Linked DNA regions of Danio rerio. The protein of the gene in region 1 interacts with the protein of each later gene in a biochemical or structural test. Links are inferred from orthologs where the notes say so. Each region holds a gene or a part of one and is shown in the gene's direction. Other genes may lie near its edges.

Evidence for each region.
Region 2: of the proteins of synj1 (region 1) and lrrk2, one has a biochemical effect on the other in vitro, tested with the Homo sapiens proteins (2 studies listed by BioGRID). The link is inferred for Danio rerio from reciprocal best matches to the Homo sapiens genes SYNJ1 and LRRK2.
Region 3: the proteins of synj1 (region 1) and sh3gl2a form a complex in vitro, tested with the Homo sapiens proteins (2 studies listed by BioGRID and IntAct, with this or other methods). The link is inferred for Danio rerio from reciprocal best matches to the Homo sapiens genes SYNJ1 and SH3GL2.

Annotation. Positions count from the first base shown.
Region 1 is NC_133185.1:31,460,492-31,464,521, forward strand, and holds the start of synj1 (synaptojanin-1), read left to right. Parts: upstream 1-1,230; 5' UTR 1,231-1,278; intron 1,279-2,445; 5' UTR 2,446-2,469; coding exon 2,470-2,593; intron 2,594-2,777; coding exon 2,778-2,864; intron 2,865-4,030. UniProt on the Homo sapiens protein: Phosphatase that acts on various phosphoinositides, including phosphatidylinositol 4-phosphate, phosphatidylinositol (4,5)-bisphosphate and phosphatidylinositol (3,4,5)-trisphosphate. Has a role in clathrin-mediated endocytosis.
Region 2 is NC_133200.1:38,184,587-38,188,204, reverse strand, and holds the end of lrrk2 (leucine-rich repeat serine/threonine-protein kinase 2), read left to right. Parts: exon of another isoform or gene 1-415; intron 416-1,646; coding exon 1,647-1,768; 3' UTR 1,769-3,118; downstream 3,119-3,618. UniProt on the Homo sapiens protein: Serine/threonine-protein kinase which phosphorylates a broad range of proteins involved in multiple processes such as neuronal plasticity, innate immunity, autophagy, and vesicle trafficking.
Region 3 is NC_133176.1:28,387,946-28,391,445, reverse strand, and holds part of sh3gl2a (SH3 domain containing GRB2 like 2a, endophilin A1), read left to right. Parts: intron 1-316; coding exon 317-450; intron 451-2,322; coding exon 2,323-2,481; intron 2,482-3,329; coding exon 3,330-3,433; intron 3,434-3,500. UniProt on the Homo sapiens protein: Implicated in synaptic vesicle endocytosis. May recruit other proteins to membranes with high curvature. Required for BDNF-dependent dendrite outgrowth.

The DNA of each region.
Region 1 (4,030 bases):
AACATAATAAACAATAATGACACATGCATTACAAAATATAAAATTAGAATAATATTAAAGTAATATAATTATAATATAAATAATTTTTATTTAATAAAATGTATTATTGTATCTTACTGTCATGGGTGAATAGTTCACCCACAAATGTAAACGTCCTCACCATTTACTCTTCTGTAGAACACAAAAGAAAATCTCATCTCATCTCATTTTTGTCTGCATTTCTGGGGCTGGGTCGTGGGAGATAACCTCAGACTTCCCTCTCCCCAGACATTTCCTCAAGATTTTCAGAAAGGATCCCGAGGCGTTCCCAGGCCTCCATGGGTTGGTGTTCAGGAGGCATCTGAAACAGATGCCTGACATCCCTTGATGTGGAGGAGCAGTGGCTCTACTCCGAGCTTACCATATTTTTATCCATAACCTACTGAAGAGAAAAAAAAAAGAGTTGTTTATAGTTACTATATGCTACATAGTTGCTATAGTAGCTTATAAATACTAGTTCTACTGGATTACGACCCCTTTGGTAATTACATATTATTAAAGAAACAGCAATAGTGTCAGATGCAGCAGATTGATTTTATAGAACATACATTAAAAAATTTAATGAAGAATATGCCTGTGTGTGTGTGTGTGTGTGTGTGTGTGTGTGTGTGTGTGTGTGTGTGTGTGTGTGTGTGTGTGCCATTGCATTCAAGATTTTTGTATTTCTAACCAGCTAAGAGGATATTGGGGGTCGCGAGTCACTGGCAATGTCATTTTGGGGGTTGCAGGCTGAAAAGTTTGGGAACCCCTGGATTAAATGACCCATCGGAAAGGCCAAGTGAGAAAAGTTGAATGTGCTGGGCAGTTTATTTGTCTTCTTACTGACAATAGACTACAATTTTCAATTTAAAACTTTAACATATTCCTATTTGTTTTTTAATGATATATATATATATATATATATATATATATATATATATATATATATATATATATATATATATATATATGATGCAATATTTTTGTATTTTAAAAATAAGTATTTATTCTTATTTCTTTACTTTTTTTGGTGAACTATCCCTTTAATAATGCTTGCTTTCTACATCACATGACACACACCTAGCCAATCAGCGGTTAGCTTAAGGTCCTGGAAACGCTTCTGGGCGTAACCACAGTGCTGCTGTCTTCCTCTCTAGGTTTCTGTTGTATTTCTGTTCTTGAACTACCTGCCCCGCTAATCATTTTGTTTCTAGCCATATACGATATCCAACCGGGGCAAGACAGGCACAACTCTGACAGGTACACAAGACCATCTCTTTACTAAGCATCATTATAAATCCACAACACACACCGACACATTAAATCTCCACTTTTCCTGTTCTAATGAACACATAGCGGCTCTGTGATCAGTAAAATGTCTGTTTATATGGTTCAGGAAGGCGATGGAGAGCTAGCCGGCTAACGTTAGCCGTCAGTGCTGGTCGTGATAAAGGCTTTTAGGGGCTGTCAGTCTGTTTGAACTGTTGATTTTGACAGATCAAGGGCCGGTCGGGCCCGATCTTCTTCATTCTAGTTATCACACGGATGATTGCTATTTTCTTGTGCGCTAACCTTCAGCCACACTCCGAGACAGTGGCCCAAGGTTAGACAGGCTGTGTATATGCATGCATTAAACATCCTTATAGATTTCGGTTGCAGTTTTGATTGTGATGAGCACCTGTCATCCTGTTTTTCTGCATGTTTCGTTTCAGTTAAGTCGGACATTTTAGCTCGTTGCTTCGGCTTTGATGGGATTTGGCTTGATTTTTCATCCCTCACTGTTGTGATGCTGAAATAACAGCACAGCTGATGTTTTTTCGACAGCATTGTGTTTCCTTTATCCTGCATGACCATTAGAGCAAAAACACGAATTTATAACAGCAGGAATTGTGTAAGCTTCCCACTTTATTTCCTTCCTCTCTAATGTCAATGGTGTGACAGGGTGTACTAATAACCACTTTAAATTGTGTGTTTTTATGGTTGCACGATGCGACATTTGCTGCACCTGCATATCTAGATTGGGGTACAATTAGTTTTATAATCGCACATTGTTCATTTTTGAACAGCGATATCTTATGACAGGGTCTCTATATTGTATACCATGTTACTTTAAAAATTCGGTATGATATCGCATGTAATATGACTTCAAAACAACTTTAGCACTATTTATGTGAACAATGTTGTACCTTGATAGGCACTTGCTGTTATATCTCTTATATAATATCACTATTTTGAATTTGCTAAGACTTATTTTCTGAAATTATATTTTAAAGCAGTAACTCTGAATGTGCGAATATAAGACCAACTTTACCTCAGTCATATCTGAAATTGCCGGTGGTTTAAGGGTTGGAATATTGTCTCCACAACCCCTGTGTCATTTGCTTTATATGGTGTGTTTCCATTTAAATGATTTATTTTTGCATTCAGGTCTGAAATAGGTTGTGTCGAGCCATGGCATTCAGTAAAGGTTATCGTATTTATCACAAGCTGGATCCACCTCCATACAGTGTGATTGTGGAGACCAGAAATCGAGAAGAATGTCTGATGTTCGAGTCTGGAGCTGTTGCTGTACTGTGTAAGACTGTCCACACCCTGAGTTACTGAATTAAACTATTAAATGTTTAGTTAGCATTGATTCTCTGTCTTTCTTAGGTGTAAGAATCAAAACAAAATGACACATTTAAGTATTTATTTCATCTTAATAGTATGTAGTATTATGGCATGTAGATTTTAAGTAAATATTTTGATGTCATCCACAGCGGCGGCAGAGAAAGAGACCATAAAAGCATCGTACACCAAGATGCTGGATGCCTATGGGATCCTGGGAGTTCTGCGTCTGAACCTTGGTACAGTTTCTCAGCCTCTGTTTTTATTTTGGCGGGTACTTGCTAATTCTGTTTGTTTTCATAACAAATCCAAATCCACCCTGTCGCCGGATTAAAAGAAAAAATAGATAATTCTGAAGATAATCACCAAAACACTGAAATTCACACCAAAACAAACATTTGTGGAGGGTTAATGCATAACATACTATATAGTCAATAATTACAGTGTAACTTTGAGACTGGCCATGTACTTGTTTGTACTTGTCTTATGTTTAACTGTCATCTTTTAAATGTCTTGGCAGTATGCATTGTCTGTATTGAAAAAAAAATATCTCAATATTTTGGGGTAATTTTCAGTAACTAAAGTTAAACTATACAGTATGTTGCTAAGTGTATGTTTGTGCAGGTTTAGTTCTGTTACTGATGAATAAATATGACACTATAACTGCCAGTAGGTGTGGCACCAAGTCCCTTTCCTAATGAGTGATTCACTTACTCGTTCATTCAAATGTTTCATTCAAAATGGCTGATTCATTTAGAAAAGAAATAGGGGACCATCTTTATAAATGGATTCTATCATTGGCTCAAAAATGGTTTCCTTCTGGAACTCAACTCTGCAGTGCTACTTGTGAGATGCGCAAATGTTCTGCTTTGGCTTTCTATTTTTTATTAGCGAAACAGAAAAAAACAGACAATATTGTGTCTAAAATGTAACTTAGTGTCAATTTGTTGTTGGAAATTAATTGATGTGTATAATAAATAATAGATTTGCGCTCATTTGCGTGGTTAAGAATATTGTGGCTGAAGCATCAAACTGATGTCAACAGAGAAGGACCGCCACTCCAAAAACAGAAGCAAATGGTCAAACGTTAATTAAAGATTACTAAAACAAACTTCAGCATGGATTAATTGTTCAATTAAAAGAAAACAATGTGCGCTATATAAAAAAGTTTGTAAATTTTAATTTTACTAAAAGCTGTTTTCTAATAGGCTTAATCCTAAATCATCAAAAAATATATTTTGCTTGTCAAATTCAATAATGCTAGTTCAGTCGGCGCTAATGGTGTAGTGGGTAGTGCGTCAACACATGGCACCCCATGATTCCCGCCTTGAGGTCCTATGCCGATCCTTCCCCCTAACACTTTCCTGTCTATACTCTCTACCCATTCAATTAAAGGAGAAAAAAA
Region 2 (3,618 bases), on another chromosome or scaffold:
ATATTTCGGTTTTGTACATATGTTTTGTGTGGTGTTGGTAAGGTTTTGATTGTATGTTTGTTTATATGCAGAGGGTTTTTTGGTATCCACTTTAAGTCATCAAAACAGGACCTGGACAATCCATCCTCATATCCACAGACTTTTTCCATCCACTTTTCTACTGATTCCGTGGCCAGCCATTGATGAACTGTTTGCTGAACTTGATCTTTCATGTGATTCACTTAAGGACTGTTGGTATCTTTTTTGGATTGCTATAAATACTGGATTCAATGAGAGACACTTATCGAATGCTTATTTCTGTCTAATAGTGATCATTAATGAGTTGACTGCTGATCATTTCATATCCCCAGTGTGTAACAATAATTATTCATACCTGCTGTCATATACATTTCTAAATACACATGAATCTCTGAAAGTTGTTTTGTGGTCTCTCAATTTCTTTAATGTAGCTTCAAAAAAAAGTAGTTGTTACAACGTTACATGATGCAGTGTATCTTTGAATGAATATATATTCAAAGAGATTTCAATGAACTATTCTGTATTAACTATGCCTTCACTTACAGAATGGTCATTTTTGGGTGAACCATGCCTTTGATTTAATTAATAGAAGTCAGAATGTTATACTCAAGTTATGAGTAATGACAGACTAGCCCTTTAAGAATGTTTAGGGGTGCTAATAGTTTTGACCACTTTGTATTTGGGGAATTTATATTATTAGGGGCCAAGCACCGTAGGTGCATAGGCACCTATTGCTTTCGTTAGCATTCTTCATCTTCTGTTTCTTTCGCCGGATTTGAATGGCAGCCCATATAGGCGTATGCGGGAAAGTTGTATAATTTGGCACAATCATAGAGGACAGTCTAAACATTAATCAGACCAAATATGAAGTCTCAAAATCAAACTCTAGTGCCACCACTTGTCCAAACATTCACGTATGTTTATCATAACTTTTGAACCGAATGGGCTACAATCAAAATTTCAAGTTGATTAGATCAAGCGTTTTCGTTTAACTTGCGATCAAATTTAACGTAGAACTTGCGAAAATGGACTTGAGTCGATATCTCTGTAACGCATGCACCGATTCACACCAAACTTGGTGTGTGTTATGACAACTAGGGTCTGAGGTTATGCGGAGTTTTGATGCACTGCCCCCTAGTGGTCCGGAGATACAAACTTGCTTTTTTGGTTTATAACTTCTCAACCTTTCGTCCGAAACTCTTAAAACTGGTCTCATTACATCCGGCAGAGCATGTCGAGTCGAATGATGTCTGATTTTCACAGGTCAGCCATTTTGGGCGTCGACCATTTCGATTTTTGACCAAAAATGCTATATTTTAACAACAACTTCACATATCATCACAAAACATGGTACACATCTTCAACCCCATGCCCTGAAAGTACTCTCAAACTTCTGAAGCAGCGCCACTTTTTGGCCAAAAGTGCTTGGGGCCCCCTTAATTGCTGCTTGCAGCTATATTTATTAATATTATTTTTTTTACATTTTCCTCGTTATTTTTAATTACAATGAAAGGTAATGTCTGTGAATTCTTCAGCTCATATATGCCAAGGTGGCCAATACTTCTGATAGTGAATGTAGTGTCAAAAGCACAAGGAAAGTCATTGATGACCTGTGTGTGTGTTTTCAGCGGAGGACTCTGTGCTGACGCTCTGGAGCAGTTCTCTTCCACTGGAGGCTCGAGATCTGATGCGACACTGTGAGCTCCGAGACAAAACCACCCGCAGAATGAGAGAAACGCTGCTTAATTAAACACCATCTCCACACAAAAACATCAGAATAAATCCGCCATCGACAACTCCCTGTCAAACTAAACAGCATCAGGTGAATTTGTGCACAAAAAACCCCAAGTCCAGCGTGTAGCTGAGCGTGGAAATGCTTTAAAAAGGGGATGGTTCACTCAAAAATGAAAACTACGGCATTAATTATTAGTCACAAACCTGTTAAACTGACTTTCTTTAGTTGAATAAGAGAAGTCAATGGTTACAGGTTTTCAGCATTCTTCCAAATATCTTCTATGTTGTTTTTCATACTATGGAAGTCAATAGTTACAGCATTTTTCAAAATCTCCTTTCGGGTTCAACAGAAAACAGAAACTCTTAACAGGTTTGGAACCACTTGAGGGAGAGTAACTAGACTAATACAATTACTAACTCATAAAAAATGTGCTGAAACAACTGAAATTCTCGGGAAAACTTGCTTTTTTACTTGCGTTTTATGTTCAACACACTAAGTTAATCGATTTGTGTCTGAACAACTTGAATGTATGGTAGTTTTGTTTACAGAGTAGCGAGTACATTTCATTTTCGGGTGAACTGTCCCTTTAAGAGTGTTTAAAATGTCTCCGAGCAGCTTTTAATGCGACCACAGCTTTACTAGTCACGAAAAGGGACCCGAAATCCATTTCAGCTTCTTTAAATAGCCAAGGGAAATTTTCATTGTGGTGAATATATCATAAATGTAGCTCGTATCTCAGATGTAGCTGTGATTCGGATTGTATGGAAGCTCATATGAGGACGGAACCAAAACAGCACTTGATTATGTTAGCCTTATTATTTTGTAGTATTTATTTATTATTGGTTTAAAGCCATGTGAAGAGGAGGCGGCCATATACAATGCATCTGTGATAATGCATTACAGCAGTCATCATTCTTTCCCCCATTAATGGATGATACATTAATAATGAAAGCATTAATGCTGGTTGTGAGATTGTGAATGAAGGCAATGTAATATATCACATGATGACATTATATGGTTTGTGGAGACAATCTATTGCTGAGACTGGAGCGATTTACGTTAAGCTAATAAACCACACTACACAATTTATGATTTATTATAATCATGTTATTTATGATGTCCGCAGCGAGCCTTTTTTTTATTATTATTTTTTTTATTATTAATTAACTTCATGAAGTTGAGCACAAACATTATAACTGGAGCATAAGCCATAGATTAAAAGCTATGATTATGATTATTTTGGTTACTGAAATGACCCTTCACTGTTACATTTTTGTGATTTGTGGGAATGTAATTATTATTATGATTTATAATCGAATGCTGCATGCCACGTATGTTTTTAATAAAGCTGCCATTTTGTATGATAATAGTATTTTTTTCATTCATTGTAACAAACGTCCTGATCATGTAATGGCCACTTTATTAGGTACACCTGTCCAACGGCTTGTTAATGCAAATTTCACATGTCAGCAGCTCAATGCATTTAGGCATGTAAACATGATTGAGACGATCTGCTGCAGTTCAAACAGAGCATCAGAATGGGGAAGAAAGGGGATTTAAGTGACTTTGAACGTGGCATGGTTGTTGGTCTGAGTCGGGCTGCTCTGAGTATTTCAGAAACTGCTAATCTGCTGGGATTTTCACGCACAACCATCTCTAGGCTTTACAGAGAATGAAGGAAATATCCAGTGAGCGGCAGTTCTGTGATAGCAAATCGTCATACTCGTCACAACCCAGCTCTGCAGAAGAGCATCTCTGAACACACAACACGTCCAACCTTGAGGCGGATGGGCTACAGCAGCAGAAGAGCACAGCCTACCTGAGTATTGTTGCTGACCATGTTCATCCCATTATGAGAACTGTCT
Region 3 (3,500 bases), on another chromosome or scaffold:
TGATTAGAGCACTTTTTTATATTGTTATTAAAGGTAAAAAAAAAGAAATATTATATATATTTATATATATATATATATATATATATATATATATATATATATATATATATATATATATATATATATATATATATATATATATTATACACACACACACACCAAGGTGATTTCAATTGCAGCCTTTTTCCTAAAACGCTCTTTAGCTACCTATTTAAACCCTACGTTTATGAATACCCTGATGTTTGTATTAAGAAATCTGTGTGTAACAGTTTTGCCTCTGAAAGTAAAACATGTATTGTACTCTTGTGTCTCACAGGGGTGGCTCTGATTGATGTTGGAGAAGCCATGCGAGAGCTTGGTGAAGTAAAAGATGCTTTAGACATGGAGGTCAAACAAAACTTTATTGATCCCTTGCAGAATATTCATGATAAAGACTTAAAGGAAATCCAGGTGAGACATGAAAACTCTTTAAAAGCAATAGTTTTGTCATTAAATACAGTCATCCTGTAAGACTCTTTTATTTAAAAAAAAAATCTTGTTTTGGGACCTCTGGGGGTAAAATTGTAGTTGCTTTTCTTTTGCATAGTGGAATTTCATTGTAGAATAGAAATTACAAAATAGAAAAAATACAAATAAAAAAAAATTGTAAAAAAGTATATTGTTCTGGAAACACATAATCCAGACCTATTTAAATGCTCTGAAATAGTTCTGAGCTGCATTTTAATTCAATTAGTGTCACAGCCTAGCATTAATCATGGCATTTAGTGACTTGCCATTACAACTCATATAAATAGCTCCAGTGCCAATGTTCTGTTTCAGTTTTCACATTTAAATGTGGATTGTTTTTGTGAAGTTGTTGGACTGGGTGTGGGAGAAAACAATATACAGAACGTCACACCCAGCAAAGTGCTTCATCCCATTATGCACATCAGCAAAAAGACCCATTTAATCCCAAGGTTAATTAGGGCTGTATTGGGTTTTATATTTTTAGCCTTTCAACCACAATAATACCATCATTTCTGTGTTATTTGTTCCGTATATACACTCTAATTTCTATAGTAGCTCAAGATGAAGTAATTCAACTTTTGAAAAGGAGTCTCAAAGTGAACATTTTTGAATATTGTACCTTCTCTCAGCTAAACTACACAAGTGTACTTTTCACAAAAAAAACTAGCATGTCATAAACAACCATATTACATTTAGTGTATACTCTTGTGCTAGTTTTTGTGTGCATGCATGTTCATGGATCTGCATGAACGAGGTTCAGTTTGGCAATGTTACTGCTTGTAAAAGTAAAAGAACAGTATTCCCCATAAACAACCATGAATCATTATTTCATGATATTGGTTCAAGGTCTAATTTATTCCGTAATGAATTAAGAACTTTATAAATGAATCATCATTCGGATTCAAAAATAAATCTTTAATTTAAATTTTTTTTTTAATTAATTGCAGTAATTAACAATTCAGAGACTCTAGTAAATAACTTTTATAAAAACAAATTTCTTTGCCTATTCAGAATTGTAGGACAAGCATAATTTATACTTAAACATTTAAAATTTGCTTGTGAATCTTAGATTAGTGGCATGATTATTTAGCCCAATTTTGAAAGTTCACAGTCCCAGCCATTTAAAGAGTTTGTTCATTCAAAAGTAAAAATCATGCTAATTACTCACCCTCATGTCAATCCAAATGAAGAGATTTTAGGTGGAGCTCCCTCATCTTCTGTCAACAGCAAGGTCCCTAAATTGTCCAGAAAGGTAACTTCGATGAATGAAATTCAGCTACAAGAATAAACATAAAAAAAATACATTTATTCAACCTTATCATCAATGTTTGTTTATTGTACACATATATCACCCAAATCCCCCAGTGTCTGTCTACAGCTTCTGCTTTTTGAAACAAAGCATCTGAGTTAATACATCAGTGGCACGACCAAGCACAGTATGTGATCGTGCAACCTTTACCATCACTGAGGAGAAGAAACAGTTGATTAAAGTCAATTTTCTTTATGTGCGCACAAAAGTATTCTTGTAGCTTGAAAATGGGAGCTAAAATCTGCAGGACACCGGCCCTCCAGGAACAAGTTTGGTGACCACTTCTATAAAGGATGAGGGAGCTCTCAGATTACACCTGAAGTGTCTTAATTTGTATTCAGAAAATGAATAAATATCTCAGGCCGTTTGGAACAACATGAGGGTGAGTTCTGTTAAACTAACGCTTTAATGGAGGCACTGCATTAGAATTAACATTGGTGTGACGGAATGTCACTAGAGGTCAGTAACTGAACAGCAACATTTTCATTTTCCATGTTTCATGACAGCATCACCTGAAGAAGCTGGAGGGGCGACGATTGGACTTTGACTATAAGAAGAAAAGGCAAGGAAAAGTCACAGAGGATGAGATCAAACAGGCCCTGGAGAAGTTTGACGACTCCAAGGAGATTGCCGAACAAAGCATGTTTAATCTTCTGGAGAACGATGTAAGATCTGTGACCTGTCCTGTGCCTGCCCTTGCTCACCATCCATTTCATGCTTCTGTAGACTCTGATTGTACTTTATCTGTGCTTTTTGTGTTATATGCTGTATCCAGTGAGTCTTTCTTTCCTCTTATCTCACAGGTTTCACCCCTTTTCCATTAATCACTGCATCTCATCCAATGGCTATGTTTACATGGTTGGCAGTGTGATTGCTGCCAATACTCAAAGTAATGATTAAGATGTTAACATGACACGGGCAAACCTTTTCAGTGCCGTTTACATGATTCCTGCTATTATTAGGATCATTTGTTAAGAGTTATGATGTTTTTGCTTTAAAATAGGCTCCAAGTGCTCCTGGCGTACATGGACCTGTTGGCCAGTCCTAGGGTACACGGTCTCCCTCTTTTCCTAGAAGCCACACTTCTGGGAAGCTCAGAAATCTGAGATTATGCATATAACATTACATAACATGGGCATCATGTGTTTTATTGGTGATCGGAAATGCCAAGGTGGTATATTTCTGAACATCTAAGAGCATGATGCCAAGAAGTGTGGCTTCTTCTGATCCAGCATGTTTTCGACCCATGCATGAGCGTTTAGTCAGATGAAAAATGCAGTGCTTTACATATTTTACTGTGACTTATGATAACTCCAAACATGAACTTCATCATAACCACAGTATTGTTTACATGAACTCGCTTGCAGTACTTCATGGTACTGTCGTAATTACATTGTGAGGGTGCATGTAAATGTAGCCATTGTTTGCTAGTCTTGAACTTCATATGTGATCATCGAGGCGTTATTTGTGTTCATGTGTTACAGTTATTAATGTTCTAACTGTGTTTCACCAGATTGAGCAAGTGAGTCAGCTTTCTGCTCTGGTCCAAGCTCAAGTCAACTACCATAGACAGGCGGCAGAGATTCTTCAGCAGCTGTCCAGCAAGATCGAGGACAGGTCTGGATCCTAAAACAAACCATAGAGTTAAAAGTTCTAATCTTTAGTAAACAATTTATAAAGGGAT